Oreochromis niloticus: one gene and its partners. The protein of the gene in region 3 purifies or fractionates together with the protein of the main gene of each other region. This does not show direct contact. Links are inferred from orthologs where the notes say so. Each region holds a gene or a part of one and is shown on either strand. Other genes may lie near its edges. The genes, in order: rnf170, erlin1 and tmub1.

What was found.
Region 1: the proteins of tmub1 (region 3) and rnf170 purify together in Homo sapiens (affinity purification with mass spectrometry; 3 studies listed by BioGRID and IntAct, with this or other methods). This does not show direct contact. The link is inferred for Oreochromis niloticus from reciprocal best matches to the Homo sapiens genes TMUB1 and RNF170.
Region 2: the proteins of tmub1 (region 3) and erlin1 purify together in Homo sapiens (affinity purification with mass spectrometry; 3 studies listed by BioGRID and IntAct, with this or other methods). This does not show direct contact. The link is inferred for Oreochromis niloticus from reciprocal best matches to the Homo sapiens genes TMUB1 and ERLIN1.

What each region holds. Positions count from the first base shown.
Region 1 is NC_031972.2:24,337,772-24,348,494, forward strand, and holds rnf170 (E3 ubiquitin-protein ligase RNF170), read right to left. Parts: upstream 5,729-10,723; 5' UTR 5,501-5,728; intron 4,839-5,500; 5' UTR 4,815-4,838; coding exon 4,675-4,814; intron 4,454-4,674; coding exon 4,378-4,453; intron 3,846-4,377; coding exon 3,731-3,845; intron 3,512-3,730; coding exon 3,438-3,511; intron 3,014-3,437; coding exon 2,882-3,013; intron 2,359-2,881; coding exon 2,089-2,358; 3' UTR 1,035-2,088; downstream 1-1,034. Other genes in the region: gpn3 (GPN-loop GTPase 3), read left to right, coding at 6,288-6,335, 6,473-6,581, 6,766-6,933, 8,052-8,176, 8,298-8,413, 8,593-8,689, 8,798-8,926, 9,059-9,124; arpc3 (actin-related protein 2/3 complex subunit 3), read left to right, coding at 9,606-9,611, 9,991-10,090, 10,648-10,723. UniProt on the Homo sapiens protein: E3 ubiquitin-protein ligase that plays an essential role in stimulus-induced inositol 1,4,5-trisphosphate receptor type 1 (ITPR1) ubiquitination and degradation via the endoplasmic reticulum-associated degradation (ERAD) pathway.
Region 2 is NC_031978.2:19,358,211-19,368,933, forward strand, and holds the start of erlin1 (erlin-1), read right to left. Parts: upstream 5,559-10,723; 5' UTR 5,444-5,558; exon of another isoform or gene 5,199-5,443; intron 4,534-5,198; 5' UTR 4,518-4,533; coding exon 4,405-4,517; intron 4,202-4,404; coding exon 4,120-4,201; intron 1,262-4,119; coding exon 1,215-1,261; intron 1,126-1,214; coding exon 1,064-1,125; intron 955-1,063; coding exon 829-954; intron 740-828; coding exon 666-739; intron 1-665. Other genes in the region: inhibitor of nuclear factor kappa-B kinase subunit alpha, read right to left, coding at 8,226-8,285, 8,427-8,526, 8,754-8,803, 8,928-9,075, 9,194-9,302, 9,546-9,595, 9,752-9,861, 9,953-10,014 and 1 more. UniProt on the Homo sapiens protein: Component of the ERLIN1/ERLIN2 complex which mediates the endoplasmic reticulum-associated degradation (ERAD) of inositol 1,4,5-trisphosphate receptors (IP3Rs).
Region 3 is NC_031982.2:34,494,296-34,505,018, forward strand, and holds tmub1 (transmembrane and ubiquitin-like domain-containing protein 1), read right to left. Parts: upstream 5,297-10,723; 5' UTR 5,146-5,296; exon of another isoform or gene 4,911-5,145; intron 3,915-4,910; 5' UTR 3,886-3,914; coding exon 3,428-3,885; intron 3,294-3,427; coding exon 2,942-3,293; 3' UTR 2,361-2,941; downstream 1-2,360. Other genes in the region: ubtfl (upstream binding transcription factor, like), read left to right, coding at 9,553-9,610, 9,984-10,159, 10,265-10,348, 10,435-10,590, 10,679-10,723. UniProt on the Homo sapiens protein: Involved in sterol-regulated ubiquitination and degradation of HMG-CoA reductase HMGCR. Involved in positive regulation of AMPA-selective glutamate receptor GRIA2 recycling to the cell surface.

The DNA of each region.
Region 1 (10,723 bases), on a different chromosome or scaffold from region 3:
TTGAGCTGTAGCTCTTAAGGTTTGTGGTAATTTCTGACATAGTCTGACCTTGGGGTGGATTTGTGGGGACATCCACTCCTGCGAAGATTGGCAACTGTCTTGAATATTTTTTCACATGTGAATCATTATTCTTGCTTTCAAATTATCCACACAGAATCAATCGACACGAAAATGTTGTTGTACATGTACAAAGACAATAAAGGACTATTCTGTTCTATTGTATTCTAAAAAAAAAAAAGAAAGTTGGAGCAGTGCTAACTACACACAAAAAAATCCCATTAAAAGCAACTAAGGATTCATAAAAGAAAACCACTTGATTTCTTCATGCAATTGTCATAACCCCATTTAATTTAGATGGAATCCCACTAACCCTGAGAAAACAAGTGTACATGATATCTTTGAAAATATGTTAATAGATTGTATGAGAGAAGCAGCATTTTTACACATTTCTGATATGCATTTTGGCATGTACACGAAGTCTGTGCACAAAGTGTCCCTTGCATGATGCTTCCAAAATAAAGATTACATCAAGGTGGGACTTCCAAAAAAAACTCTAAGATGTAGTTCACCTGGAGCATTACAACATATGCTGCTGTCTCTGGCTGTAGTTTAAACTGAAAGGGACACTAGTGGAGCAGTACTCAAGTATGACACATACTGGTATGTGGCACACCCTAAAACAAGACATTCCATGAGGTAGCTGCTGGTCTCCTTTTTTGGTAATCTAAATCTCTGAAATACAGTGAAACCTGCTCCTTTTACTTTGCCTACCATGACAAGCTTATCAAACATTGGCTTTAATCCCCAGAAACCAAATAGCCTGGATTCATTGCTCAAAAAGCAACCATGGGTGCACAGTAGCTTTGAGGGAAAAGGCAGATAAAGAAGTCTCTTTATCTCTGGCTCCACTAGACAACACTACCTATTTAAGTAATCACAACTAAAAAAAAAAAAAAAAAAAAAAAGTAAAAGAAGTTGAGGTGGAGATATTTACTGTGCACCAGTCAAAATTTCAAGCTAGATTTACACTTGAACAGTTTGGTAATCCCCCATTTATTTACATCCTCAGTAAAACACATTTTGTATAGAACATTAATTTAATTTGAACATAAATAAGACTTCAATACATTTCAAAATCTGACAGATTGAGAGACTCTGACGTTCTGAAAAGCTCTGTAGTGCATGAAGCTGAACTGACGCTGACAAACTGATTAAGATCCTGAAATGTGAAGAAAAAAAGAATCCTCAAAATAATCTTTAAACATTGAAATATGATGACATTAACAATGATGACTTGAGTGAGCTGATGTTTCTTTCTTTTCTTGAAAAACAAAGTCATCTCTAACTGAGAAGTCATCATCAGACTGGTTGGTGTTGTTCACTATATTTTCACGTGGGTAAGCCCAGCAAAGTTCGAAGCATGTTAGAATGGATGAATAAATCTAGACGTTTCCAGGTAAAACACTTGAGTGATTTTGACACAAACATTGGTTTCAAGTCATGGTTATGCATAGTTACAGATCACTGAAATATGGGCATAACTATAAGTGAATAAAGCAGGCTCTAATAATCCCATTAACAGGGTTCTTGTAACACACCTTTGCTTGTCAACTGACAATCCAAAATTAGACTGTTGACTTTAAATCCATTTAATAAAGACATTACACTTTTACATGATTGTCTCCATAATGATGACATCCACATTAATCAAATCCCCGTTCATGGCACTGTTGACTATTTAGTTAAGGGTGTAAACTGATGGGCAAGAAAGACTTTCCTGACTGACCTCAGTGCCTGACTCCAAGTAGATTTTTACATCGCATCCTTATATTCTGCTTCTGTTGGTATTGACTCATATGACCTTAGAATCTTGAATGGTAAATTCTATATACAGAGTCAATATTGAGAGTACTTTTTTTGCTAACCCATCTCCTGTGATAAAATAACATCCAAGGCTTCAGAGAGAGAGAGAGAGAGAGAAAAAATCTGTATTATCGACTAACTGCTCTCTGAACATTTATTCCGTTTTTTGCACGTCCTCAGATGTTGACTTCACTCTTCCCGAGGCTCATATGAGCAGGCCAAGGCCTAGCCGTTCAGTCTCTGTGTGACCACCTCTCTGTACATGATAGAGATGTACACAAAGAGAAGTAGGATTACAAAGAAATCGTCCATGAATCCCAGAAGACCAAAGAGCGCTTCGGGGAGGATGTCGAGCGGAGAGGCCAGGTAGGTGATTGCCCCAATGAGGCAGAGAAGAATTCGAATCCTGAACATCCAGAAGAGGCCACCCACAGTAAACATCTCTCTAAAGGCGTGACGAAGCAGAGTGGGCACATCCCGCAGCCTGTCCATAAACTGAGGTAAACCACAGAAACAGAAACAAAGTTGTCAATAATAACTCACGTTTATCTCATTTACGGTAGTATCATATCGGCCATTTCAATGGTCAATGGTCAATGGTAACTTTATTGTCCCTAACGGGAAATTGATTTGCAGTATGTCCGTACAAACAAACAAACAGACAACCAACACATCACATACATGGATGGCTGCTAATTTTAAATCCCTCTCTTTCGCATGTCTCCCATGATAGAGTTGTATAGAGAGCAAACATCCACTTCTTGACAACTTTCCCAACTTTTGTATCAAGAATATAACTGTTGTTGGGTTTCAGACTATGACTCACGGAGACAAAGAAGGAGTTATACAGTGGAAAATCCACAGCACCCAAGACCAAAGGAGACAGATCAGGTCATGATCAGGTGAGCACCCTCTTTTCTTTTTTCTTTTTCAATATATAAGCATATTCTAGGTTGTACAGAATGAATATTCAAACTTAAAGCCCCAATCTAAATAAATATCACTGTGAAATACTCACCGATCTCGGCTGTCCGGAAAACCTGCGGTTGTAATCATTGATATCTCTTAATATTAGTTGAGGTTCAGCTTCCCCATCCTGCACCCTCTGAGGACTGGCGTGCTCATGAAAGAGTGGAAAGAGCAACGTTACCTGGAATTAAAAGAAAAGAAAAAATATAAAGATATTTTTAAGAACGATTTATTTATTTATTTATTTTTTTAAGAGGCATAGATAACAGTTTTCCCCCAAATTTGCTATGTATAGTTTTGGGGGGTTTTTTGTTTGGTTTTTTATGTACTCATTTATAGTTATATTGGCCAGTTGATATTATAAATCAACTGGGTGGTAATATATATGTATATGTATATGCAGTGCATGACAGGTCACACAGCACCGCACGGACTGACACATCACTTATTCCATTTAACACTCATTTCCAACAACTGTGGCAATAGCTAAATGCCTAACAGAAAACCATTGAGGTATTTTTGTGCATTCAAAGATATGAATACAGAACAGCTGGCAACTTATGAATATCTCTAGTGTGCATTTTAACAAGTACTGAAAGACTCACCATTTGTCTGCAGATGGGGCAGTTAATAGCTCCCAGCCAGGTGCCGTACCTCCAGTAGGCTATGATGCAGGAGCCTGTGTAAGAACACAGGATATGGCACATGAGTAAAACTAAAGCACAAAACAATAGCTATTAGCTAAAAAATAAATACATAAATGTTATATTTACTCCAAATTATGTTTTCCTTGACGTGCATATTTTCAAATAATGTCGACATTTGTAGCAATTTTGTACTTTTTGTACTACTTTTTTAGTACAAAAAGTACAATTAGCAATTAAAAGAATAATCTCACCGCAGAAAAGGTGTCCACAATTGGTTTCCACAGGCAGAACAGCCTGCTGTAAACATACAGGACATGACATGTCTGTGTAATACTGCTGCCTGGCTTCAGCCTGGGGATTTTCATCCTGCAAAATGAAATCAAAAGCATACAAATTTAAAAGTTTAGCACATTTGTTATAACAGAGCGCACAATTTTGAGAGTCATTCCCTCCAAATGAACAATAAACATTATAAACCATTTACTAGCTGTAAAAGAATATGAATATTTATCTATATCAGCCCTTTTGCAACTTCCTGTTGTGACTTGACAATTTAAACCTTTTCAGTTCCTTCTTCTGGACTTTTGCCAGTTCTAGAGCCAAAACTAATTGCTTCTTTTAAATTTCAGAGATATAAATATAAATTTTAGAGGTTGCTTTCTTAAGATAAAATAGAAATTAAACACCAACAAAATAATATTTTTAGTAAAGGATGACATCCCCCAAATGAAAATATAATCCTCAAGACTCTGCTTTTCTGAGTTTGAAATGTTCAGGTGATGTTTGGCCTTTTTGCAAAGCCTTGAGTCGTTAATGTTCAAACAAGAATTCAAACCACGCAAAGGATTCCAAGTAATACCTAGGGCTAAAAAGGCTGGAGCTGCGCTTGCATCTTTACCTGCTCGGTCTGGAGCTGTTGTCGGACGGCTCTTACGTGCTCCTGATTCTCAGGATGAATATTTTGCTGCTCTTGTCTGCAAATGTCAAAAGATGATTTGGCAATCAGATGTTTGTCAGCGTAAACTATGAAACAGAGCGTGACAATGCAATGCAATGCAATACGAGTAGCCCTAAAGTGCAATATTCTACATGATTACAACCCTCAGATATATGCATATATTATCAGTCCTGAACACCTGTCATCCAAAGAAAAAGAAAACAGCACTTTCTTTTTATTAAGCAATCAATTGCTTACCTGCAGAGGAGAGTGAGGAGGCCTGCAAGGAAGGCGACACTGAGCACCACCACAAATAAGACCTGGTTGCTGACACCTTCAATGAGAGTGTCCTCATCTTGGATCAAGTAATCCAAGTCCCCATGCTGACCGTCCTCCATCACCCACACTCATAGCCTACAACTCTGGAAAACAGAGGGGGAGAAAAAAAGAGATCACTAATTATAATTTTAAATGTTAGTAAAAGCTATATAATTTAACGGACTATAAGGTTCCACTAATGTATTCCCAAGTCTGTGAATGCCACAAATCTGTGGGTTTACGGGATTAAGCTGCGAACTTAAAGGCTTGTTTTTAAGTGACCTGTTAGCAATAGCAGCGAGAAGTCCATTCTTACCAAAACGTTACAAAACTAGGTTAGCGACACTTTGGTTACTTGTCCCTGCATGTAGCATTCTTCCGTTCACTGTGTTGCTATTATCAGCTAGCAACGCCCGCTTGCCAAGTTTAGCGCTGGCGTAGATTAGCTTTTAACACATTAATGAGCACAGCTACTGCTGGTAATGACAGTGTGTGGCTTTTGGAAGCTCCTCCACCACAGACAGCCCTGTAGTTATTTATATACCAGTGAAAGAAGGACAGCTTCTCTCTTTAAGTCTGAGCTTTACGGGACATTTATCGCCCCCAAATCAGTCGCATAACGACCCTTTCACGACAGGCTTAGCAGGGCCGCCTTAAGTTCTAGCTGAAGAGTGTGGCACACAGCATAATGAAGCTAAGACTGTTTACGTAACGTGCAAAGTAATTTGAAACGTTTTGCAGGACGGACTATGATGAAAGAGCTCACCTGATAATAAGAAGTCCACCTCCACTCGGTAAGCTCTTTCCAAAAGCTTCACCTGTCCGCTCCATCCACTCTATCGAGACATTTCCCCCCAGTTATGACAGATTTTAGAGGCTCAGTCAAATTAGGAGACCAGAAGCAATCGCTTGCGTGTTGTTGCTCTTGCTTGGCATACCGATGATACCGTTTCGGTTTGCAACTACTTCCTTTCCTTCTTATTCTCTTAGAGGTATGCAGGTTAGAAGCTACGACTACAGAATGCTGCCCCCTAGTGTTTGTTAATGACGTTATTTTTGTACTTTATCCTTATCCCATCAGTTTTTTTATTTTCTTTTACATAAATTAAACATGGTATACACAGAGAGAGTAATTTCTGAAATTGTTTAACTGCTCAGAAAAATAGTTTTAGCTTTTCAATTTATGCATTGTCTCACATTTATTTAACTTAATTATTTATGAGAGACTTATATTCTGTCTCTACTGACGTAAATGTCTTACCTTAAATAGAAAGACGTCTTCATATAGTGTATAACTTTCCTATTAGATTTCTTAGTACATGGCATAATAATGATCCAAGCGATGAATTGTTAACCACGCTTTGACCAATAGGTGGCAGAAGTGCTAATACAATGTAGATGTTTCTTACAAGAAGACGAAGAAGAAAAAGAAGCAGAAGAAGAAGCACAAGGGCCACCACCGCCAGTGCATCAATATTACTAACAGTTCTACGAAGCTACTTTTGGCGACAAAAAGGACCCAATTTTACACAGCTCTCTTTAACTGAGGCACAATGCCTCGTTATGCACAGCTAGTGATGGGTCCTGCGGGTAGCGGTAAGGTAAGTTATCACCCATTCAGTTAAACTTGTTGAAATACCTTGTTGTGCTATTTGGCTAATGCTAAGGCATGAGGTTGTCTTGTGTTCAACACAGACTGCATCTGCTTTTTGTTTACTGGAGTTCACTTTCATTTCAGAGTACCTACTGCTCCACCATGGTCCAGCATTCAGAGACCTTAAACCGTTCAGTTCAGGTGGTCAATCTGGACCCAGCAGCTGAGCACTTTGATTACCCTGTCATGGCAGGTAAATACAGCATGGTTTTAGTTTATATGACATAGTAGTGTCCATAGAATAGAGGAGGATACGATTAACCCTGATAAATGGCTTTTAATTAGGCTCTAACGTTAATTTTTGCTTTAGTATTTAGCATATAGGAGTTATTTTACACGACCCACATGGTAACTTTATTATGTTTCGGTGCTCTCAGACATCCGTGAGCTTATTCAGGTGGATGACGTGATGGAGGACGATTCTTTAAGATTTGGCCCAAACGGAGGTCTGGTTTTCTGCATGGAGTACTTCGCAAACAACTTTGATTGGCTGGAGGAAAGCCTGGGTCACGTGGAAGATGACTACATATTGTTTGACTGCCCAGGTAAATGTTTCAAAGAGGGTATGCTGAAGCCAGTCTTCCATTGGCTTCAGCACAGTGCACTTGTTTGTGCTGGGGTGTGGATGGGATTCAACATATCCTGAGCACTGTTATTTGTTAATTTTGTTTAAATCACCGAAATAGATTTACACTCATGGCCACTTACCCTCAAAATTACCTTAATTCCTTATGGCATACATTCAACACAGTGAATTCCTTATAGACTTTGGACCATACTGACATGATAGCATCACACAGTTGCTGCATATTTGTCAGTTTGTTTGAAATGCCAAAACGTTGATTTTGTCCATCTGAGACTGAAGAAGGCACTTGGATGAGTGATATAATGTTTCTCCCACTGAAAGTGCTACGGTTTTGATGGACAGAATCAATGTTTTGGGATTTCATTACCTGGATGATTGAGCATGCAGCGAGACATAGTTTGAGATGATTTGAGCTTTGTAGCATGACAAATTATCCTACTGGAAGCAACAGTCAGAAGATGGGTTTACTGTGGTCATAAGGTAGTCAGCAGCAATACTCAGGTAGGCTGTGGGGTTTAAATTATGTTTTCTTGAACCATTGCAAATTATAGCCTCAGTTTCCTGTTCATAGTTGACAGTAGTGGCACCTGGCGTGGTGTTCTGCTGCTGTAGCCTATCTGATTCAAGGTTCAGCATGTTGCGCATTCAGAGATGTTCTTCTGTAAACCTAGGTTGTAATGGATTTGAGTTACTCTTGCCGTCATATTAGCTTTAAACAGTCTGGTCTTTCTCCTTCTCGCTCTTTTTTTCTGGACTGTTGTATGTAAACCCTATGGATGGTTGTTGATGGCTGTTTGGGGAAAATCCCAGCAGATCAGTTTCAGAAATGCTCAGACCATCGATAACCATACCATATTCCCCTTTTCTGATGCTTGCTTTAAACTTCAGCATATTGGCCATGTCTGTATGCTTAAATGTAGTTGAGTTGCTGCCATTAGAGAGTAACAAACCTATTGAATTGGCAGGTGAGTGCATATTTCATTATTCCAGTCTTGGAACAAGGTATGTTATCATTGGAAAAGTGGTTGTCCGTGTGTGCCTCATAGAACTGGTGTGAAGCGTGGCTTCTCTTTACAGGGCAGATTGAGCTGTACACACACCTCCCTGTAATGAAGCAGCTGGTGGAGCAGCTCCAGCAGTGGGAGTTTCGGGTTTGTGGAGTTTTCCTTGTTGACTCACAGTTCATGGTGGAGTCTTTTAAGGTAACAGTCTCACAGTGTCTTCCTCTGATTTATTTTATTTTCCTTTTTTAACTTCATTTCTGTACAAACACACACATAATGTAATAGTGACAGCACACCTTTTACTTGTCTCCTACTGTAGTTTATCTCTGGAGTCATGGCTGCCCTCAGTGCTATGGTGTCATTAGAGATTCCTCAGGTAAACATCATGACAAAAATGGATCTGCTTAGCCCCAAAGCAAAGAAGGAGATTGAAAAGTAAGTTTCATATGAATTGACAATGTTAAGTGCCCACAAAAACAGTAATTCCCTTTGTCGTCTGTACTAGGACTAGATTAAAGTTTTCTTTTCGTGTTATTCAAAACCTGAACATGTTTGAAGAGACAATTCTTAGTTTTAATTTACTTACATTTTTATGCATTGCATTTTTTCACAAGATACCTGGACCCAGACATGTACTCAATGATGGAAGACGGCTCCAACACAATCAGAAGCAAAAAGTTCAAGAAGCTAACCAAAGCTATTTGTGGTCTTGTAAGTAGAGGCCTTGATTTGGTACTGCATCACGTTTATGATCAGATTGATATTTTTATTAATATATTTGTCTGTTTTTAATGAGACAGTATCTGTTTGTGTATCTAGATTGATGACTACAGTATAGTAAGATTCCTCCCTTTTGACCGCACTGATGAAGAAGGTATTAACATAGTACTGCAACACATTGACTTCTCAATACAGTATGGAGAGGACCTGGAGTTTAAGGAGCCAAAGGTGAAGAAACAGCACAACCCACCAACCCCAGTTAAACAGAACTTTAAAAAAATATGTATATATATAATATGATGCATTATATACCTTTTCATGATCAACCAGTTTTTTTTTCTGTACCTTCTTTTCCTACAGGAGGTTGAGGAAGAGCCTGCTAACCTAAATTATGATGAGATTTTTCAAGACAAAGTGAACAGCTAAGGCGCAGTATGGCCAGTCCTGCAAATACAGACTTTGTGTAGCAAGACTGGCAAAGGAGTTCCATCGGACTGTTTGTTGTAGCTGCATGGATACTGAGAAATGGACACGTGAAGAAGATTGTGGATATCATGAATAGTGTTTCATGTATTTTAAAGGTGTTTTTTTTGTTTGTTTTGTTTTGATGATAATGAAACTATTCATTTAAAAGTATATTTTAAAACAGTGGTTTGATGCATTTAAATGCTTAGCAGTTATTAAAAATATTGCTATTATATTTTTTTTGAATAAAATGCAACGCAAAATACACGTTTTGCCGCCCGTGTGATGTGAAGTGTTTATTTAGCGCCCCCGGCTGGTTGATACGCCACATGACACGTGGCCACTTCCTGTAGCCGAAGGGTGGGACAGCACGGAAGCAGTATCTTGCAAGTGTTGGAATATTTCTGTCGCTGAGCAGTTGGACTGATATTTATCATTCAACATGCCGGTGAGTAAAAAAAATAAGAAGAAACACACTATTATTGACGAGCAGAGAACTTTACTGCTAGGTTTAGAGCAAAAATATTGCGCTGAAATCCCACTGAGTAGGAAAAAAGAGGCCTCCGAGTTAACGTTAGCATAGTTCGCTAATTACTTAAGCATTTGGGTCGCAATTTAACGATGTTTGACATGTCAGAAAGCGCAAATTCGCATTCGATGCTTTTTTGCAAATGCCTTTTAGCACGTTGCCTATACGTCTTATTATTATTTGGTTCTACGATAACATAACCATTAAACCAGGCTAGCATAGTAGCAATGATGCTATCTGGCAGAAATGTTCCCAGAGAAATCAGGTGACAGCAACTTTTTCTTTTAATATTTTTCAGGCGTATCACTCAAACCTGATGGCCCCCGAAACCAGGCTGGTGGGGAACATGGCTTTGCTCCCCGTCAAAACTCAGTTTAAAGGACCAGCCAGAGGAGACGGTAAGGCTGTGCGATGTCTTTTACTTGTGTCAAAATGTCGATAATGTCCTTTAAATAACGCATATCAATTGTAGTGAAGTCTTTAGTAGTGTTTTTTGATTTGGTCAAGTCATTTTAGGCAGTGGGTTGTATCTTGTTATGACCCCTACTTTATTTCCTGATGCATGCATCAGATACACTTCCTTATATGGTGTAAAGAGCTCATCCTCAACTTCTAACTTCTTCATTAGAGTCTATGAGCACTTCTGTAATAAAACGGTGTATTTTCTAGTGTCTGATCCACCTAAAGGTTCATTTAACTCTTCCATGGTGTTGTGGGTTTGACAGATTCAGTGCTATTGAATAATGAAGCTATTATATTTTGTGATTGGGTGATTCTAGTTGTTTGTTAGCAGCTCATAAATCAAGAATGGAGCTCTGCTGGTAACAAAAAAGGCCTGCATGGCCAAAACGGGAAATGACACTTTAACAGTGACACATACACATGCACAAATACTGAATTTAGAGCCATACATTTGTTGATTTCTTCTTCTTTGCTTTTTTAAAAAAAATTTTAGGCGTAGATTCTGATATTATTGACGAGGCTATCTACTACTTCAAGGCCAATGTTTTCTTTAAGAACTATGAAATCAA
Region 2 (10,723 bases), on a different chromosome or scaffold from region 3:
TGTTTCTTCCTAGCTGTGCACTAATGGTCCTGGCCCATGAGCAGGGGTCATTAAACAAACACTAACAGACAGTAACCTGGTTTACCCCGCGGCTTAAAATGAATTTATAGTTCCTGCAAGAAGCTAATAGGTAATGCAGTAAACAACAGTTTAATCTGACTTCTGTTTTACCTCACCTCAGTGGGAGCATTTTTAACTGTATTAACACAGGTTAGTGCGGAAGAAAACGTGCAATAAGTTTGGGCTATTTGGTGATCAACTGCCAACGAGGAAGAGGAAAAAAACAAACAAAAACAACACTATTAGTGTACTAGTAGGCAGTACAAATGACTGATTGTTAATCTCTACTCTCTGTACATTTGCTGCAAGTGCCTAAATCTAGCTGGTATGAAACTGTGTGTTATTTACCACCTCCATGATCCATGTGCGATCTCGCCTTTTTCCACTAAACATTCTCCATTTCAGCTGGAAAAGTTAAACTATGTACAATATACACTTCTAAGTACTGAGTGCTACCTTAAAGTCTTTGTAAAAGGGACAGAGCGAGGGAATGAGGGAGGGTGGAATCTCAGTTCTGGATGTGTCACAGCACAAAACCAACTAGCTGATTTTATCATCCCTAAAATGTCACTGAAAACATGCAGGTTATGTGTGTGTTTAGGTACCTGTATTGTAAGTCCAGGTGCCATAACATTCAGATCTTTCTGTAATGCAGTCTTCAGATTCTCATCTATGATGTCTGCAAACAAAAAAAAGAAAAAGTTCTAATGTATGATCTAATTTCAGGAATTTCAGCATTGTAGTAAAATGCAACCAAAATGTACTAACCAAACAACTCAATGTAAACCTCCTGTAGCGTGTGCACGCTGCAGAACTGGTTGAGTTCATGGTGAATTTTGTTGAATATTAGAGTTTTGTCGTAATCAGCGGTGTAGTTCCTCACAATGTCCACCACTGAATATAGCAGAACAAAAGCAACAATTACTTGGATGCCAATAGGGTTAATAAGTCAACAAAATAAGGAAGTTTTGCAGTGAAAGAAATTCACAAAAACAAGCTGCACCTGCTGAGGGGACGAGCATGTTCACAACTTCTATCCTGTCAAAATAGATCATCACACCTCCACTGTGAAGAAAAAAAATTCTGGTAAATATATATTCATTTTAACGTGGGAATGAATTTTTTAACAGCTAAATAAGGAAGTTCAGTCACACCTTGTTCCACAAGGCACATTCTTGATCTCATCTGTTTGGAGTGTAGTCTGAAACAAAAATTGAAAACATATTGTGACATAGTTATCAGTAAAAGTGATCTGTGTGTTTTCCTATTTGTTAAAACTAAGCATCTAAAATCCAGGGTACAACAGGTTCAACTGCTATTAAACATAGCTGAAGTTCAAACTTAGCATCAGAACTGGGAATAAAAGTGATTTAAGTGACTCTAAGACTACAATTTGCACAGGATCACAAAAATTGAAATCATGGATCCATCCTGCCTATTTCATACTTATGGCCATACGACTCCAAGCACGCCCTATCTTTTCTGATTTGCAGGAGTTCTTCATCATTCAAATGCCACAGCCTTAAATGTCATCTCTGTATGATCGCAGTGTACCCATCTTTTGATGGCTGCTTAGAGCAGGATAACACAACATGTCATAAAGGTCAAATTAGGGCAGTGAGATATGACCAAAATCTCATATCCCGATATTAAGACATCTATCGTCCGATATAAATCACAAAAATGTAACATTTTCTGTAAATTCTGTGAATCTCGGGCAGCTCGACTTGCGTGAAGTGTTTCCAGCTGGGCGTCGCGTACCTGGAGTCGAGTGTTTTAACTGATGCATGAAACTATATATTTTTAGACATAAGTTGTAACGGCCGCCGTTTTCTTTGTTAGTATTTATTACACGGCGTGCTGCGGGGAAAAGCCTGTTCTAACGTTTGAGTTTAAGGTTTATTTTTAGCACCTGACGGCTCTTTTTTGCTTCTCGTCCATAAATACTCTGCATCTTTCACGTGATTCAGTTTATTTTGAAAAGTCTCAACAGGATCTTGAGCTTTATTGTGAAAGGTTTATGTGGAAAATAAACAAGCAATAAACAAACTTTAGGAAATTAATATAGCCACTACAGTGACCATCAAAATAATGAAAAAAATATTGCCGTAAACAGTTTATTTTGCGACACCACGAAACAAACGATAGCGTAAAATGAAACGATAGACGTTTTTATATCGTCATCCGATATATATCGTTATATTGAACAGCCCTAGGTCAAATCATCTCAAACTGGTTTCTTAAACATAACAATCAGTTCACTGTACTCAAGTCGCCTTCACAGACACCAGATATCAGTCCAAAGGAGCACCTTTGGAATGTGGTTGAGTGAGAGATTTATATAATGGATGTGTAGCCAACAAATGTGCAGCAAATGTCTAATGCCATAATGAACCAAAATCTCTGAGGAATGTTTCCAGCACTTGCTTCAGAGAAGCAGATCTGAAGGCAAAATTGGGTCCAATCTGGTACTAGCAAGGTACCTATTAAAGTGGCCTGTGAGTGCATTATTAAGATTTGAAATTGAGTGCAATGCTACTTTGTACTACATTATATAATTTAGGAGCTATACAAGATTACATAAAGAAGTGCATGGTTGTTTCAAGTTAATACAAGCTGAATGCATACAATGTGTAAAGCATATTCTACTATATTACTCTGATACTCTTTTACGATTCTGATTGTAAACGTTCATAAAATGTAACAGTAGTTTTCCAAAACAACCGTAAATCTTCAAGTTACTTGGATATGCTACCAAGTCCAGACCTTTGCCAAGGTCTGGAACAAGACCCAAACTATCACCCTAAAATGAGAGGATATTTGTTAGGATGTTCAGGAACAAGCCAGGAACCACTAAAGCTCAAGCCTGCCATGAGCTATTGGAACATCAACATCTCTGTTCACAGTAAAGGGAGTTTTATATCACCCTAGACTAAGAACATGCAACTAAGAAAGAAACCTGTGTTTCAAAACCAACCAACCAGCTCAACTTTGCAGCTGCCAACAATGACGAGCCAAATGCCTTCTGGAGAAAAGTTTTATGTCAGGTGACAGAAAGATTGAGCTATTTTTCCACAATGACAAGACTTATGCTTGGAGGAGTAAACATAAGGCTTTCAAACCTAAGAACACTATAACAGCTGTTAAGCATGGTGTTGGCTGTAGCATGGTCTGAGGCTGTTTTGCTGCCAGAGGTACTGGTACATTGCACAAAGTGGACGAAATAACAGCGCATGAGGACCATTTCCAAAATCTTCAACTTCACTTAAAATTGACAGCTAGACGGTTAAAACTTGGACACAGTTGGGTGTTCCAGCAGGACAATAATCCCAAAAATATCTCAAAACTGATTTTGGATTGGATAAACCAGACTAACGTCAAGTTTCTGGAAGTGCCCTCCCAAAGCACAAATGAAAATTTATGAACTATGATGCTTAAAACCCTGGTCTGTGCCAAGAAAACAACCAATTTAAATGAACTCTACCAATTCTGCCAATAACAGTGGCCAAATACCCAGACAGAATTATGCCAGAAGCTTACTGATGACTATCTAAAGCCGCTGATTGAAGTGCAACTTGTAAAAAGACATTTAAACAAATATTAGAGGGGTTTTGTATGTATATATTTGCACCTCTATGTTTACTTTTGACAGAGTGTGGATTGGAGAAAATCCTAAATAAATTCAAACCTGTGCACCCAATTCTTGTTTCTTAAAGGCATTAAAGATGTAGGGTGCACAATCATTCTACCCCGGAAAAATAACACCTCAAAGAAATCAGTGAAAAAAACTAAAATTGTCATGAGTTTCATACCCATCACAAGTGCATGCAAACTTCTGCCCACAACTGTATATGTATTGGCATGTAAATGCTACATTTACTTGGTGTAAAACAGAGCCCCTGCAGCCATGGTTGAATAACAACTGTTTGCATGCTGTAGCTGACTTATTTATAGAAGATCCCACTCTAGTTTTAAAGCGCAGGCACCTCCTGTTTGAATCTTACATTACAAATGCCTTTGCTCAAAGGCCATGTTTCAGGCCTGGAAAGAGAGGCTTACCTGCACTGCTCTGTAGGTGGTAATGAAAGGCAGCATAATGTGATATCCAGGACCATTGGGAGTAGTCAGCAATGCCCCACCTCTGAAACAAATACAAATTATTTCACCAGAGTTCCCAATATCTGATTTTCTTTTGATTATATTTAATGAGGGTGGAAAAAAGAAGAAGACATATAACTTTATAACCATTATTAGAAACAGGTCGCTTACAAATAGCACTCCCACATTCTTAGTACAGTTGTCATTTTCATCAGAAACAGGTGTGATGAATCAGGCCTGACATACCTGTAGTACACAGCGAGGTGTCCTTCTTCTATCTTGTGAATAGAGGAGTGCAACATGATGGCCATCACTCCTGCTATTGCTGCAAATACTGCCCCTACATGCGGCATCGTCATCCTTACTAGCACTCACCTGCAGAGAGAAAAGGAAAATGCTGAAATATTTATACAACACTAAGCCCTCAGGGCACCGTCACGTCTGTGATCAGATGGAAACTGTAACTATAAACAGCAATACATGCAGTCAAGACTGTTAGGGTAAACCAACAGTAACGCATGAGCTGTGCCATAAAACTTGCCTCTTTACATCCAGTAATTTTATGGTCAACACACCATATGGCTTAGCTTTTCTGCTCCGTGCACCCTGTTTTTCACCCCATTGCAATGAAAGTAAGAGTTTAAGTAAATCATTACACATTGGTTACACACACTCTCATATATACGCCTTTTATATTCACCAGTGAGACGGTCAGCTATTAACACAGGTGCACCAGGGTCAAACATGGAAACCTTTATACCTATGATAGTTGCCTTAACAGCAATCAATGGATACCATATAGCAACACTATTAGTAACAATTAACGACTTCGCTTAGTTAAAGTACACTTCACGTGTATTTAGTTTAAACATCTAACGGTGACAGGCACAATTAGCTGATAGAAAGACTTGAGAAGGGTAACAAGCAAGTAACTCCTCAGTCAACTTATGAAGCAACATATGTGCTTCAAAGCTACAGGTCCTTTGATTTAGCTATAACATTAACACAAATAAGTTCTGAAAAAGAAAACAAAGGCTTACCCACCACTCGGTTGGTAACGTTTACCCTAGCTGGCTGGGTTGGGTTAGCTAGCTAGCTAGCTGGCTGGCTGGCTAGCTCTCACTGGGTGGGATCGGAAGTGAAGCACTGTTTCAGTGTAGCTTAATGCTAACGCAAGCTTGCTAGGCTACTAGCGTGAAGCAAAGCTTTTAAATCGTCTTGCACTACGACCAAATAATGTTTCAGTAGGTACTGTAAACCACAGGATTATAATATGTAAAATTACCGCTGTAGCAAACCGTCTCCCCTTCTGGTCTTAGCATTCAACGTCCCACCCCCCTTTCCCCGCCTCCCACAGGTTTCAATCTTGCTTTGACTCGCTGCATTATGCTGCCTTCAGGACAGTTGGAAATAAAAGAAGTGACATTGTAAATGGGTGGAATTTGTCAAACGATTTATTTTATTTAAAATCTTGATAAAACCTTTATATTTATACAGATATATAAGACCCAAATGGCTTCGGAAGAATATCAATGTTTTACAAAACCAATATTATAAAACAATGGCCAGTCTTTGACAGATGTCCAGAAAAACCAGTGGACCAAGGAAGTTCTTTTCACTTCATTTATTTTGTATGAATACTATAAAAACATATTCAAATATCTTCTTTGGATATTGGCTGGCTTTTGTTCTGCATTTGCTCTCTGTCAAGATAATCCCACACTGCTTCCATAATGTTAACGTTGTGCTTTGTGCTTAGACAGCGGGCTTGCTTGTGGTTACCAGAGTCTTTAAAAGTAGAATTGGTAACAGAGTCTTCAGCTGTCAGGCCCTTCTTCTGTGGAACCAGCACCAAGTTTAGATTTAGGAGACAAATACCCTGACTACTTTTACAATTAGGCTTAAAACTTTCCTTTTTGATAAAGCATATAGTTTGGTCTGGATCAGGTGGCCCTGAATCCTCCCTTAATTACACTGCAACAGACCTAGGCTGCTGGGGGCTCTCATGATGCACAGAGTGTTTCTTCTGTCCCCTCACCCTAAACCGGTTGCAACACACAGCCAAGCTTTTTCATGTTAAAAGGGAGTTTTTCCTTGTTTTTTTTTTTTTTGCCTGTCCCATTTGGTTCTTTTGCCATCAGAATTATTGTCTAAAGGTGAAGAAAGATGCCCAACGGATTTACTTTACCAAATGGACCATCCCAGCCTTGCTATAATGGTCTATTTGATTCACCTTTTATTGTTTATTTTATTTTATTTTCACTTGTTAAATATGGGACAGACTTGACTGGGGAAAAGAAAGGGGAGAAAGAAAGGGAAAGAAAAACAGCGGGGAAAAGGGATGGGGATAAAGGGCAAAAAACAAAAAACAACAAAATAAGCAGACAAAAAATACATATATCAATCACCTGGATCACCTGTTGAGAAAGAAAAAAGAGAAAACAAGCAGAAAAAAAGAGCAACATAATAAACAACATCACGATGATCTATGGGAATGTAACAGTAAAAACTAAATATTAAACATTATTGTGCAGCACGTAAGATCGACAGCACACAGTGTGCTTTGAGGTAGGAGCCAAAAAGGGTGTAGTTAGTGTGTGTGAGTACCCGTGTGTACACCTGTGAGCATGAGCGCGCTTGTATTTAAAAGGTTCCTTCATGTGATGATCTGCTAGAGGGTGTGGGGGGCCACAGCCCCATCCACAAGGGCATGAAGCAGGTATGGAGGAGATCAAGACTCCAGACATCCAGAGGCCCTCAAAACACAAGAGACCAAGGAAGACCAACAGAGGGGCAGCCGCGCCACCATCCCAGAAAGAGCTGAGGAGAGTCCCAGATGAGGGGTCACTCAGTAGCCGCGGAGCAGAAGCCAGGGGGGGTTGCAGTGACGTGCCCGTGAGCTCCGCCGGCAGCCAGCTGTGTCAGAGTGACCGAGCCCCAGGCCGAGAGGCCGAGGGCACCCCACCCCCGAAGTGGCCCGAGCGAGCCCCAGGCTCCAGGCCCCGACAAGCAGCCACCAAGAAGTGAGCCGGTGGGTACCTGGACGCCCATCCCAGACACAAAGAACCACCAACGCACCGATGTCTGAGGGCGTCTGCCACTGGCAGGAGAAGTGGTGGGGGGAGATAGGCCTCCATACCTTGGAGGGCCTGAGATGTCCCCAGAGAGGTGCATTATTTTTTTATCAATTATCTCATTTAATTCTAGTTTTGTTTTGCGTATTTTGTTCAATGTTTCCTGATCTTGGTGGGACACGTAGGCTTCTTCTAGGGATTTGATGGTTTTTTCTAATTCCTGAATATTTTTGTTTTCTTCTTTCTTTTTATGTGATGAGAAATAAATTATTTTACCTCTCATCACAGCTTTCCCTGCTTCCCATAGAACAGAAGCTAATGAGGGAGTAAAAGGGAGTTTTTCCTTCCCACTATTGCCAAAGCGCTAACTCACGGGCGATCATCTGATATTTACTGTTTTTTCCAAATTATTGGAAGGTCCAATTATTGTGCAATTTGGCATATCTCAGGCCTTGTTCCTGTTTCCCTTTACTGTCAGTACAAATAAAGTATAGTAGACTATTGTCTGGTCTTGCATTATATATTACATTAGTCTTTTCTGCATTCTTGCAGTTTGGATTTCAGCAAATCCCAGGAGAATTTTAAACCTGCATTTCGTGTGCTCCACTGCGTGAATGTAAAAAAGTTTCACCCGTGCAGATAGAAACTAAACATACTGTAAGAAAGAAACTGTTTGAACAAATTCAAAACCTTGTACACGTACTATACGTTTCTAGAAATTTATTCACATTCAATCATGCACAGCAGCAGTTTTTACCTTTAGTCAGTATTGCCAGTAAAATAAATATCTTGTATCTACAGCTGGAAATCTTTTTTAACATTCAAAAATATACTTCAAATTAAAATGTCTGTAGCTTACCACATCATGCTGTTTCATACATTCTAGTCAACAGCACTACATAAATGTAAAGGACAGTGTGCGGAATAAGAAAACTTTCACAGGGTGTGACTCTGATAGAGCACTTTTTAAAGTGTGTGATATCTGGCGAGTTTCTAGAGCTTCTGAGGCTTCACTTTCATTGCTCCATACTGAGTCCAGCTCCAATCCTGATCCTGCAGAGAGAAGCAACATATTCACTCAGTACTTTTATGCCAATCTCCAATATTTAGCTGTTAATTGGTGCTCTAATAAAAAACAACTTGGTAATCTGCTGATATACATGAGCTGAACATAAAAACACATCTTTGCCATACCATAATACTGTGCTCCATCTCTTGGGTGGCGTCTTGCAGCAAAGACGTTAGCTGACTCAGATAACGTTGATTTTCATCAAGTAACTGATGAACTGTTTCACTGAAAGAAAAAACAGACTATAAGGAGGGTTGGGAGTCTGGTTTTTTTCCTACAAACTGAGATTTTTAAAGACCAGAGAGTGACCTCTAGTGGCAGTTTTGTGCAAAAATTCAACTTCTAAACTACAGATAAAATCCTTACATTTGGGAGATAAGCTCAAAACAGTGTGACAGATTATTGTAGCTGTTAACTTGAGTAGTATTTTTCAGATATTAAACTGATCTTACCTGTCAGTGGAAGGCTGTGTAAGTGACGGAGATGGAGAACTGCTCTGGGCCTGAAAACACAATCACACTCTGTATTAGCTACAGTCTCATTTGACTATATTTAAACCTTTATGTTCCCTAAACACTGCTCATCCCCAAGAATATTTTCTGCTGTGCCAACTATTAAATGCTTACACAGGCAATCTTGAGAAGGTACCAGAACTCTCTCTGTCTCGACACTTGCATCTGCATCACTACTGTTTCTGCAGTTGTTATGTTTTTTAACGCCTTCTCCAGTTTAGGGAACAAATCCATGATGCGCTGCTTACACACCAGAATTGTGCTACAGAGAAAGAGAAAGATGGAAAAAAATCACACGTGGCTCACGGGGAACTGTAAAATTGTGCTTCAGGTGGGCTGAACTTGACATGTTTGTGTGTGTTTGTTAAAATTAAACTTGCCTCAGGTGGGTGTACATGTCTTTCAGCACTCTGTCCTGGTTCTGAACTGTCTGAAGGATGGTCTTTACCATGTCTGAGCTGTCACTGTAGCCATGTGGAGGGTCAGAGCCTGCAGAAGACACACTTACACAATCATGTACGTAAAATATTCTGATATACTGCACAACTACCATACCTTCTGTTTTTTTAATCTAAAAAAATTTGAGACCAAAATGATACAATTGATCAACAAGACCTTTTGCACAATTTGTAACTTGTTTATTAGAAGCTTTATCAGAATTACCTGCACTCTAATTGGCAAAAAGCATGTGCCTATTTCTGCTATTTTATTTTTGTAATGACTTGTACTTACTTTTGCATTTAGCCTTAAGTTGCTTGTAGAGTTCAATAGCCTTTTCCTCACTAAACAAGTAGACAGAATAAACACATGCATACGGCAGTTATTTTTAAAGGATATAAATATAAAATATAAAATATAATCCAGTTCTTACACTGGACCTTTACTATGGTGTTACAAGAGAGGGCTATAGTATAAGTTTGTACCACAAAAATACTCACAGCTGCTCCATCACATCCCCTTGTCTCCTAGCAAAAGGACTCCTTTGGAGCTCCACAATCTCTGAATGTAGAGCCACTATCTCTTCATCCAGATACCCCACATCTGCAACCTGCAGAAAAAAAACAAAACAAAACACTCTTAGCTGTCTTTAAACTTTAAAGAAAGTTTGTGAAGAATTACTGAATTTAAAACTGCCTCACCTTTGTAAATTCATCAGCTTTCTCTTCATTTTCATGCCATTTCTTCAGCATTTTTTCCGAAGCTTTAGATAACAACAACAGCACAACAACAAGATATAGTCAAGTTAAGACTTCAGTAATGAGTTAACAGTGTTGTAACAGGACAGTAGCATCCACTCACAGATTCCAGCCTTGCTCTGCTTGGTGTACTGCTCAAGGTCATGCTGGATGCTCGTCTTAAAGAAAGACAGTTTGGCTTGGAGCTGCTGCGACTGGGAGAACAGCATGTTCTTGTAGCGCGTTAAGTTGGTGTTGAAGCGTAGCAAACTCAGCCTATGTAGACACATACATGTTAAAAATATTTGAGTACCTGAATGCACACTGCTCAAAAAGATAATTAAGGGAGCACTCCTTCATCACAGCAAAGTCAGTTAAACTTCAGGAATAAAACAAAGCATTGCAAATCCATTTCACCTGCTTTGGTGCAAATAAAAGTGGTGCCCTGTTCTCTTGAGATGAGATCAGGTTCTTCTAAGGCCCTCTCCAGCACTCATTGTTCTCAATATCTTGTGGTATCTCTTGGTTTCCTGACGCTAACATCAATGACAAGTACACTTGCAAAATGCAAAGCTAGAGAAAACTCAGTCAGGAGGGATAAGGAGAAAGCAATGGTCTTTGGCCACCACCTGCTAAACCGGCCCTTTTTGGGATGATCTTTTTCTCTTTTTAGTGCTCCTGTTGTCACTTTTATTTGCACCAAAGAGGGTGAAACAGATTCACAGTTTGTCCAGT
Region 3 (10,723 bases):
CAATCTACAGAAAGTCATTCAGGAGAGGAAGAAAGAGCCTCCATCAGCTCATATTGATGGGGTGACATCACTGTTATTGATATCTGATCAGTTACCCTGTAAACTGTAGAGGTCATGTGATCAGCTGTATCCATGGTGTGTCCGTGTGTTTCAGTGTTGATGCGCACACTTGGCCTTCCAGAACTCCACCTGCAGACCTGCTGCTTACCTGTGCAGGTGTTTGATGTTATTGTTGCTGTCTCAGGTGAAAGTGACCCGAGGTCGAGCCAATCAAAGTAAAAGGCCCGTGTTCATCTGTGTGTGCGGCTCTGTGACGAAGGTGAACGTTGAAGCTCGGGCACACCAGGCGCTGGTCAGGTACGATCTCACCTGTGTGCGGTGCTCAGATGAGCGAGCTCCAGCGTATATTTGAACTCTGACCTATGAAGCTGTGGCGTCAGCGTCAAGTGTCACAGCTGCAGCTGTTTCACGGAGGTTTTCACAGATAGGAGTGTGTGATAAGGAGAAAGTTCAGTCCACTGAATAAATCGTTTGGTCCAGAGTACCAGGATCATCATCTTTGATGTTAGTTTATTTTTAAGTCCTTTTCAGGCCGTGGACGTCTGCGGCTTTCAAACCTTCATTTTTACCATCTTTGATCAAACAGGCGTTTTTCATGCAATGAGGCTGATGCGTTTGTTCATTTGTCTGGAATGGCAGCATGTCAGGAAGATACATCTGGATAAACTTTCCATATTTGTTGGATAAATTCTGCCCACGATGGATCGATCTCTTTGAAGCCACGAGCTCAGTTTGGCCTCGTTTCCTTCAGTTTGTTCTCCACATTCAACCACTGATTTAGTTTTTGTTCCTTTGTGAGATTCCCAAATATCTCATTTTGGAGTTAACAGGAATGTTACAAACATCTTTTTCTGGTGCATCAGGTACAGCAAGGACTTCACATATTCTAACATTTAATGTTAAACCAGATGATGATAATAATAATGATAATAGTAGTAGTGCAGATGCCTGGACAGCAATTTTTCAATAGTTAGTGGATCTTGGAGTTTATCTTTTAAATGTTGCTGTGTCATCTGCTGACTTGTGATAATATCTGTGGCTAAAACATTTAATTTCTTTATGTTATTGAACTTTTGAAGATGAATCGCCAACATCTTGGTGACCAATATGAAGCCATATGGAGAAAGAGGAATTCCAGCATTAGCTTTAAAGCTAGGGCTGGGACCATCGGGTACAATGACACAACTGCTAATAATGTGGTACAAACACAAATCACGTTTCTGAATTTAACTCCAAAAGCAAAGTGTTCAAGGACTTTATCAAGGCTGAGTCGAAGGCTTTGTAACAATCCATCGTCTTTATCAGCTTTCTGTATCCAGCACCGCTCTTCTGTCACTGTGAACCGATCCTCCTGTGAAGAAACCTGTGTTTCTGAAATGAGACATGACAGAACTATCTAAAGACGAGCAGTGAAGACATTTGGAGTTTCTTAGGGTCCTCGTTGGGCTTTGGAATTGAGGCGATAAGTCTGGGTCTCATTGTGGGCGGCAGAGTGGAAGTCTGAAACATTCCTGCCAATACTCGATGTAAAAGGCCATTGACATGTTCCCAGAAACGTTTGTAGAAATCTCGTGCCCGGCCTCTGTTAGAAGGACGTCCGATCACTGCATCAGCTTCTGTGGTTGTTATTTGATCTTCACACGTGTCTCTGAAGTCTACTGTAGGAACACGATCGGCCACATGCTTGAAGAAGAAATCAGTCAAGAATCTCGAGCTGTGCAGGTGGCGTTCCTACACCACCAACCATCAGCTGTTTGGACCGGTGCACAGGAACACGTTGTTCTCCTCCTCCTCCTAACTCCAGACCTGATGAGCTCTGTAACTCATCAAGTTTCATACTTTGTGTCTGTCATTGTGAGTGGGCTCAGGTTTATTACAACAATTGGTGTATTTTATATTTTAGAAACGCGCATCTTCACTGCTGTTATTTCTTCACTTATTGATCTCTGGCTGACGTTTTTGACAGTAAATTCAAGTTGGAGCTGAATTTCTAATATTTGCTTGTAGGTTTGATAATGACCTGATAACCTGATGGTCAGTCAGAGTTGGTCTTCCTGCTCCTTACTTTGGGCCACACTGCGCACCTCTCCGTCTTCTTCGACATGTTGTATTTGAGAAGTTCGTGCCGCTTACGTGATCTCGACAACTTTGACAGTTTGGAGGTTCTTTCGTAGTCGTCTCCTCGCGACTTTGGTTCAAGTCGTCAGGATCTTGATTTACGGAGCCGTGACCTGTGAACATGTCAAAGCAGCAGCTCTGACCAATCACATTACAGAAACAGTCTGAGGTCGTCACATGACTTCTTTCATTCTGAGCTTTTTGTATCCAACTTTATTTTGTAACATTACACACTTCCTGCTACACAGAGGGTCAAAGGTCAAACATAAGAGCCCATAAAATCTTCACCCTGGAAATGGACTCCATTATCAGCTGATCCTGGATGGTTAGAGAGTGCTTAGCAACAACCTGTCGCTAGGGAAAAATCTGTACTCCCCAACGCTGACCGCCCAGCCAATCAGGTGATGCCAACCAGCCATGTGACTGCAGCAGCTCCACCCTCAGAATCACCTGTACAGGTGTGACACACACACTCAGACACCACGGGATAAATTAAAGGTTTAATAGATTTTCTCCAAAAGCTGAAACTCTCTCTCTCTCTCTCTCACACACACACACACACACACACACACACACACACACACAGACAGGTGAGGCAGACAGGTGTGTCTGTGCCTCCCACAGAAATCAAAGAGGCACGCTGATGATGAAGATAAACGTGTGATCTAATGATAAGAGTCTCTGTCCTCACTGCGTCTCCATGGCAACAGAAACAAACAATAACTGCAGGTAGCGTCTCTTCCCGCTGCCGGCCCATGGGAGGCTAGCGGCGGTAGACGCCAAAGGCCACCAGGCTGAGGAGGATGGTGACCCCGACCAGCGAGGCGGTGGCGGGGGCGGTGAAGAACTGGCGATACTGGATCTGACAGTACCACAGCACGGAGAGCATGAGCACGAGCAGCGGGACCATCAGGCTGCCCACGTTCAGCGCCACGCGCACCTGGTCTCCCGCCCGCTGGCCCCCTGCCGCCCCCCGCGCCGCGTGCTGCGAGATGTGGCAGTGCAGCACGCAGTTATGGGCGAGGTTCAGCGAGGCGAGCGTCCGCGCGTCGTCCTGCAGCAGCTGGCCCTGATAGATGAGACGCACCTGATGCTCCTGCCCCGCAAAGTAGGTCCTGCAGGGTCAGAGGTCAGAGGTCAGCAAACGGGTCCGGGGGCACAGCCGGGAGGAGGAGCTTCAGGTTTGCCGAAACTCCTCCTCTACTATGCAGTAGTGTAGTGTATGGAGTATTACATGCAGCACTCGTACCTCTTAATGTACCCGACGGTGTCCTGTGGTTGGACCTGCGCCGTCCTCTCTGTGTCGTTGAGGAACTTGAGTCTGACCACCATGTTCCGCTGAGACACCGCGGCCTCTCCGTCTCCTCCTCTGCGCCTCACCCCGTCTCCTCCCACCTGTCCATCCTCCAGTGTGGTGGGAGCCTCTGTCAGGAAGCTGTCGTTCACAGAGGAGGAAGGTGAGGACGAGGACATGGAGAAGGTGGAGGGTGAGGATGGTGGGTAGGGGGACGAGGAGGTGGCGGTGGATGAAAAGGGCGTGTCCTGCTGGGTTTGCCCGGGCCTCTGTAAAGGGGAGGAGCCTGTGAACAGGTGTTCAGGGGGCTCGGATGTGCGGGTGGAGATCCAGGCGAGCAGCAGAACTGTCAGCAGCAGCAGAGTGGCGAACAGCAACGTCACCTCATCGCCGACACCTTCGATCAGCGCCATCGCCGCCAAGGTCAGCACAGCTCACACACCTGTAGGGAGAGGGCAGAGCTTAGCTTCAGGTATATACACACACTTCTTGTTTACCTGAGAACCCCTCACCTGTCCTTTCACTCCAGCATGACTGAAGCTTTTTATGAAATAGGGAAAGAAAGAAAACGCCCCTTTAGGGGCAGGTGTCCCACAGACGGAGCTCCAACGTCACACGACAGTATCGCAGTACTGTGTGGTGATAAATACAATACTGTGAGAGTACTACGAGCAGGTGAGCTCCTCTCTCAGGTCGATAGAGTTACTTCCTAACTCATAGCGAGCTGACGGCTCAGACACACGAGGGAAACCAACGTCCGAACATCTGCAGGACACCTGTAGCTGCCGGAAGCTGAACCTCACAGTGTCGCCTGATGGGAGGTTATCGACGGCTCCCAAACTGGATCCATGTAATCGCCATCAGACGACATCGGACAGGTACGGCGGGTTTTAGTAAAATCACCTTATCTCATTTGATAAAACACAAACTGATCAGCTGTGAGGTCGTGACCTGCAGATGCAGATCATCTGTACGTTTGTCAGAATATGGTAACGATAAAATCCCAGTAAACCTCAAAGTTCCGCCTCTACGTTACACCTGGGCCCAGTAAAGTCCAATCAGAGCAAGCGTCCTGTCCCCGCTCTACACACACACGCACACACACACACACACACGCACACACACACACACACACACACACACACACGCACACGCACACGCACACGCACGCGCACACACACACACACACACACACACCACAGGGTGACCTCTGGGACTCTATCTTGGGGAAACACACTCAGAGGTAAAAGCTCCCCTGGCGGATCGCACGTCACTTCCTGCGTGGCTGTCCAACCAGCGGGATGAAAAGCCCTTACACTTGTCCCCATACAACGCTAACTTCCGGTTTCCTGTGTGCCGTCAGCAGGTATCGATCCATGATTGATCCGGTTGTTAATCAAGTGTATTTTTGACGCCCTCTGCTCAGGTATTTGCTCACCTCTTTCCGCGGCCTCGTCACGTCACCAGTTGTTGGTCGCGTTTCACCGGAAGATCCGGGCATTTGAGCCACCCGGGCTCACCTGGATCAGCTCCGCCAGTCCCGCTAAAGTCCGCGCTAACAGCTACCCGCTGCGCTAAGATACGCGCTAACAGCTCCCGCTCCCAGGGAGCCTCTGACCCACAGTCTGAGTCTGCGCAGAGGCGCGAGGAGAGAGGAGACGACGGTCACTCACGTTCAGTCCAGGAGCTTCATGTCCTCCGCGTTAGCCTGCAGGCTAACAGCTGCATCACTTCCTGCTGCCGCTTCTTCTACTGCTGTGCTCCGCGGCGGACCCAGCGGAGGCTTCTTCTTCTCTATATTGCTTATTGGCGGTTGGCAAACAGCAAAATGGTGCATTACCGCCACCCACTGGTGTGGAGTGTGAACTGAATGTCAAAAATGAATCAAATCCTCCCAAACAAACGAGTCTGCCTTAAAAAACAAAATATGACCTGATCACTTCTCCAGTTCTTACGAAATAAATCAGCCAAGTCCAGTTTCACTTTCATCTCACCGAGCATCATATTTCTGACAATGCACTAAAACATGTCCTATTGTTTCTTCTTCTCTGTTGCAGTCACACTCCCCTGTGCAGTGCTTTCTCATTAAAAACAATGTGCTATTCAAACCAGCATGCCCAAATCTGAGTCAGGATATAGCTGTCTCCTCTCTCCTGTTCCTGTGCTTCTCGTTTCTCCTGTTTTTTCTTTGGTTTCGTAAAACCATCGCCCCCCCAGTGGAGGTTGCGCATGCGTACACCTGCTGGTCGCGATTACCGTAGCGTCTCCTTATGACGTAACCAGACAAAAGAAACAAGCAGAGTGTAACAGTTTCAAATGGTACAGAACAAAAAGTAAAGAAGAAGAAACGTGTTCGAGATCAGATCCAAATAAAGTTTTTAATAAATGAAACAAAACGAAAAGTGACATATTAGACTAAAGCCCTCTGTAACAGCAGATCAGACAGCAGAAGAAGAAAGGGGACCATAATAAATCATTACTGCAGGTTTACAGCTTCCAACAGAGAGTGTGGATTATGTGTACTCGTGGCCAGGAACGACCAGGAACGACAGCTGACACACAGGAAGTCTGACTGGTGCTCAACCGAGCCAGATTATCCAATCAGCATCACCTGTGTGAAGCTGGTGTGTGACAGCCTGAGGTACTGAGAAGGAACCCTGACCATGACCTGCTGCGACTTTTCAAAATAAGAGCATGAAGCTGTTGGTGATTAAGCTTTAGGAGTGCCTGTGTGTGTTTGTGTGTGAGCAGACCAGCAGATTTTACAGCATGAGGTTCACTTCACCCACAGAAACATGTTCAAACACTCTAAATACAAACATATATTAAAATGCATGAATATAATGCACTCATTTTATTTACAGTCACTTTATTAGGTGCACCTGTTCAACTCAGATATCTGACCAGCCAATCACAGGGTAGCAGCAAAGTGATGAAGAGGAGCTGCTGAGGTTCAAATGAAGCGTCAGAATGATGATTTAGGAGACTGGTGTGTCCAGACCCCAGTGAGCGTTTCAGGAGGAGGTGTACCTAATAAAGTGGCTGTGAGTGTAAATTCTGCACAAAGTCCTGTGAAATATGTGAGTTTCAACTTTGTGGGTCCGCTCAATCAATCAGTTGATCGGTCAGTGAACCGATCGATCATCTGCAGTGTTTCCTCTTCAGCATGTTGGGGCTCTGACAGCTGCAGAAACCTGATCAGCTGATTGGTGGCTCATCCTGGGGTGTCCACGTGCACAGCCTGACCTTTCATTGTTAGAGAAGCTGCTGCACGCGCTGTTAGTCTGGATGATGTCATTACCCCAACACTTTCCCTTTAACGTGCTGAACATCCGGGCAGCAGGGGGCAGCAGTGGCGCTCAGGGGCCACTGGCTGTGTTTGTGAGGGCTCCGAAGTCCACCAGAACCCGGACCCCAGCTCAGACCTCTGAGGGTCCCACAGGTGAGGCCCAGTGCACCTGTCCTCACCTCAGGTGGCAGGGTCCTCCGAGTTTACTCCAGAATTAAAGTCACAAGAACTCAAAATAAAGGCTGTTTTTATTCTAAATAACAAACTTTATTAGGACAAACAGCAGAAACACCTCACCCCACCTGCGGCAGGTGCGGAGTCAGATGATGACCTCACTGATCACGGGGACTCCGCTGCTCTTAGCGGGCTCCTCTGCCGCCTCTCAGCCCCCGATCAGCATCGCGCCGGGCGGTGGAGGGAGCCCCTTCGGCTTCCTCCCAGAGCATCCGCTGTGCTCCGCGGGCCCCCGGCCGCATCTCTGCCGGCGGTCCCCGGGCCTCCCGCCTGTTCAGCATCTGGACCCAGAGAGGGCTCGGAGTACGCAGTCGCAGTTGGGTTTGAGTGAAAACGGCGTAAATGTAAAATAGCGTCCGTTAAAGAGTGCGTGTGCGGCGGCTCCAGCGGGGCTGGCTGCCGCTGTGGCCGCTGTCTCTGGTTTCATCCTCCGCCTTTGTCCTCATGTTTTCCCCCGGAGTTCCTCCCCCTGCGGCGCTGGGCGGAGTTTCATACCGGACTAGACGCTCCTTTTGTCGGATTCGTTTCGACCTGACTCCCCGGGGTTTACGGCTGAAAAAACCACACTTCCACGGTCCCGAAAGCAGCCGAACCGGCACGGTGCCGTGCAGTATCACCCCGGCTTTCTGTCCGAACCAGCAGGTAAACGCCAGGTTCCGATTTTAAACGCATTTCTGGGTTTTTCGGCTCGCTCGTCCCCGAGTCGCCACAACATTCATGGCGGCTTTGCAGCGGAGGCTTGTGGGGCAGCTGCAGCCCGTCCCGCCCGCACAAAGCTCTGGTTCTGCGGGTAAAGGGTTCGGGGGGCTCGGGGGTTCTGGTGATCCTGCACCGCGGGTAGACTCGACCTCGACCTTTTTACGTGTCATCATTTTGTCGGATTAAAGCCCTTAAACGCTCCACGTGTGCCGTCCGGAGACTTTCGCTCGGATCTTTTATCCGGTTTCATCCGGTTTGTTCCGGTTTGGTCTCCGCGTCGCTCCGACACGTTTCACCGGGAAACCTTCGCGCTCGGTTCTGCGGTTCGTGCCAGCGGAAGCTACGTGCTGACTCCTGCCGGAGGATGGACGCCATTACCGGGCAGCTGGAAGCTGGCGGCCCGGAGACCTTACCGGGCCCGAGCCCAGCTCCCCGGCCGTCCGGACCCAGAACCCGGGGACCGTCTGCAGAACGGCACCGGGACCTGTGTGTGTGAGAGATCAGCTCCTGTCTGAGAATCGATCATCAGCAATGTCACCAAACACACTGTTTCCGGTTACCTCTGTGGTTACACTGGTGTGGTGATGTCACGTGAGTTTAATGCTCAGCCAGGTGAGAACAGTTGAGGTGCACGTCAGTGTGAGGTCATTCAAACAATGGCTGTGGTGCACACAGGTGGGCACCCTCACAGTGAAGCTGCTGCAAGTGAAACATTCTGATTGGCTATTCTGTGCCCCGTAGCTGCTGCTGTGACTGTGAGTGGGTGTGCACTCTGATCACACCTGTGCAGGTAGCTACAGACCCCTCAATCATCATTTTTGTCCAGTGGCGAAGGATCAAAATTCGCCATGGTGCCACAGACACGTGAACTCCGAAGCACAGCTGCATCTTCAGATGAATCTGACTAAAGGTGAAGGTGCCCAGGTGTGGGGGCGTGGCTTTAGGAACGACCCAAAGTTCATACACAGAGCTCAGTGTGCATTGACGTTTCTATCACTGAAGGTGGCGCTCTGGAGCCTTTCTGCACGTGGAGCATCCTCACTGCGTGTGCAGAATCTCGTTTCTGAGCACGCTCAGATTGATTTCTGTAAATGAAAAGAAGCCTTCAGGAAGTTCACACACTGTTGGGCCGCCATGGTGTGAGCTGCAAGCTGATTGGGCAGTGAGAGGATGAAGGTGTTAAAGTGTGGTGATGGCCAGCTGTCATCCTCTATAAATACACCTGGTACATTCTACACAGTAACAGGTGATGTCACTGACCTTCAACGTGTCACTGTTAGCCTACAGTGGGGCAGCAGGGATCAGGTGACGTGTCAGGTGATCAGGCGACATATTCTGCTCAGTGACTCACGCTCCACTTACTTCTAGCTTCTCACAGGAGAGTGACCTGCCACTGAAAGCAGCCAGCCTCCTCTGAGCTATGGAGAGCCAAACGTGCCAAAACGCTGCGCAGGTCAGCAGGGGGCGCCGTAAAAACATGGTCACATTAAATCCAGCCCCCTTTGGTCCTGCAGCCTTTCTCACCTGACATTGATTTAAAACACCTACATGCTGCTACTGCGCGCTGATTGGTCCTTCAGTGATTTATGACAGGGCGTCCTCTGTCACGGCGCCCGTTTCCAGCAGTCGGGCTGGTTTCACTCGGCTAAAGGATGAGCTCGAGAGCGCCCCCTGTGGAGCCGGAACAGCGCATTGGATCAGGTGTTGTTGGACTCGGTGCTGCCCCACACAGGCAGAAACAGGAAGTACACGAGCCGAGCCGTACTGATGGTCACGTGAGCACTTCCTGCTGCAGTAAACCTGTTTGATTTTGTGTTTCAGAGGGAGGGGCGGAGCCTCCTCCGTCGGTCACTGCAGGATGAACGGCAGCAGCAGCGTCTCCACGGCTCAGAGCACCAGGGTCAAGACTGAACCAGGTAAGTGCCGACCTGCTGTTAGCGCCTGTCAGGTGTTCAGGTACTCGCCTGTCAGTTCATGTAGGCCTGCGTGAACTCTGCTAAAGCAGCGTCCACACAGGAAGTGGCTGGCAGCGACTGCAGGAAGTTGATGACACTTGGAATGAGCGTGAAAGTGCTTCCAGTGAGCGCTCAGATGTGACGGGGGGGGGCAGACCTTGGGTTTGCCTGAAGCTGCATGTTTGCATCTTTACGCCCGTGTGCACCTTCGTCCTCACAGACGACTATTTTGGCAATTTTAGTGAAAACGTACCTGAACATGTTTTTGTGTAACGTTCGGCCGCGGGGCACACGCCCTCACCGGCCCCGCCCTGACCGCTGTCTCCCTGCTCAGATGACTGGAGTAAGGAGGACTGTCTGACTCTGCTGGAGAGGATTCGCACCCTGTTGCCTGACGGAGACGCCATGAAGTATAAAACCACCGAGTCGCACTTTGACTGGGAGAAAGTTTGTTTTGGCGGCTTCACCGGCGAGATGTGTCGCCAGAAGTGGCAGAAAGTCTCGTCTGAGGTACGCTGGCCAAAGGCCACGCCTCTGAGCCGTCGCCGTGTTCATTTAAAGCTCTTCGGTTTAAGGTGTGTCTGAAAGTTCAGCTGACCTGAGTCTGTGTTTCAGGTCAGGAAGTACCGAACGATGACGGAGCTCATCGTGGACGCCATCGAGTTTGTGAAAAACCCATATAAAGGCAAGAAACTGAAGGTGAGGCCCCCTAGAGCCAGAACCTGCTGGGACATGTGCTGGTTCAGACAGACAGACCTGTGACCTCTGACCTCTCTCGTGTGCAGACTCACCCAGATTTCCCGAAGAAGCCTCTGACGCCATACTTTCGCTTCTTCATGGAGAAACGAGCCAAATACGCCAAAATCCATCCAGAGATGAGCAACCTGGACCTCACCAAGATCCTGTCCAAGAAGTACAAGGAGCTGCCCGACAAGAAGAAGGTGCGCTTAGCCGCAGAACCCGAGGTCGCACTTGTGTCCGTGTTCGAGTCCCGAAACACCAAACGCATGTTTGTTTGTCCTCCCGCAGCAAAAGTACATCACAGAGTTCCAGCGTGAGAAAGAAGATTTCGAG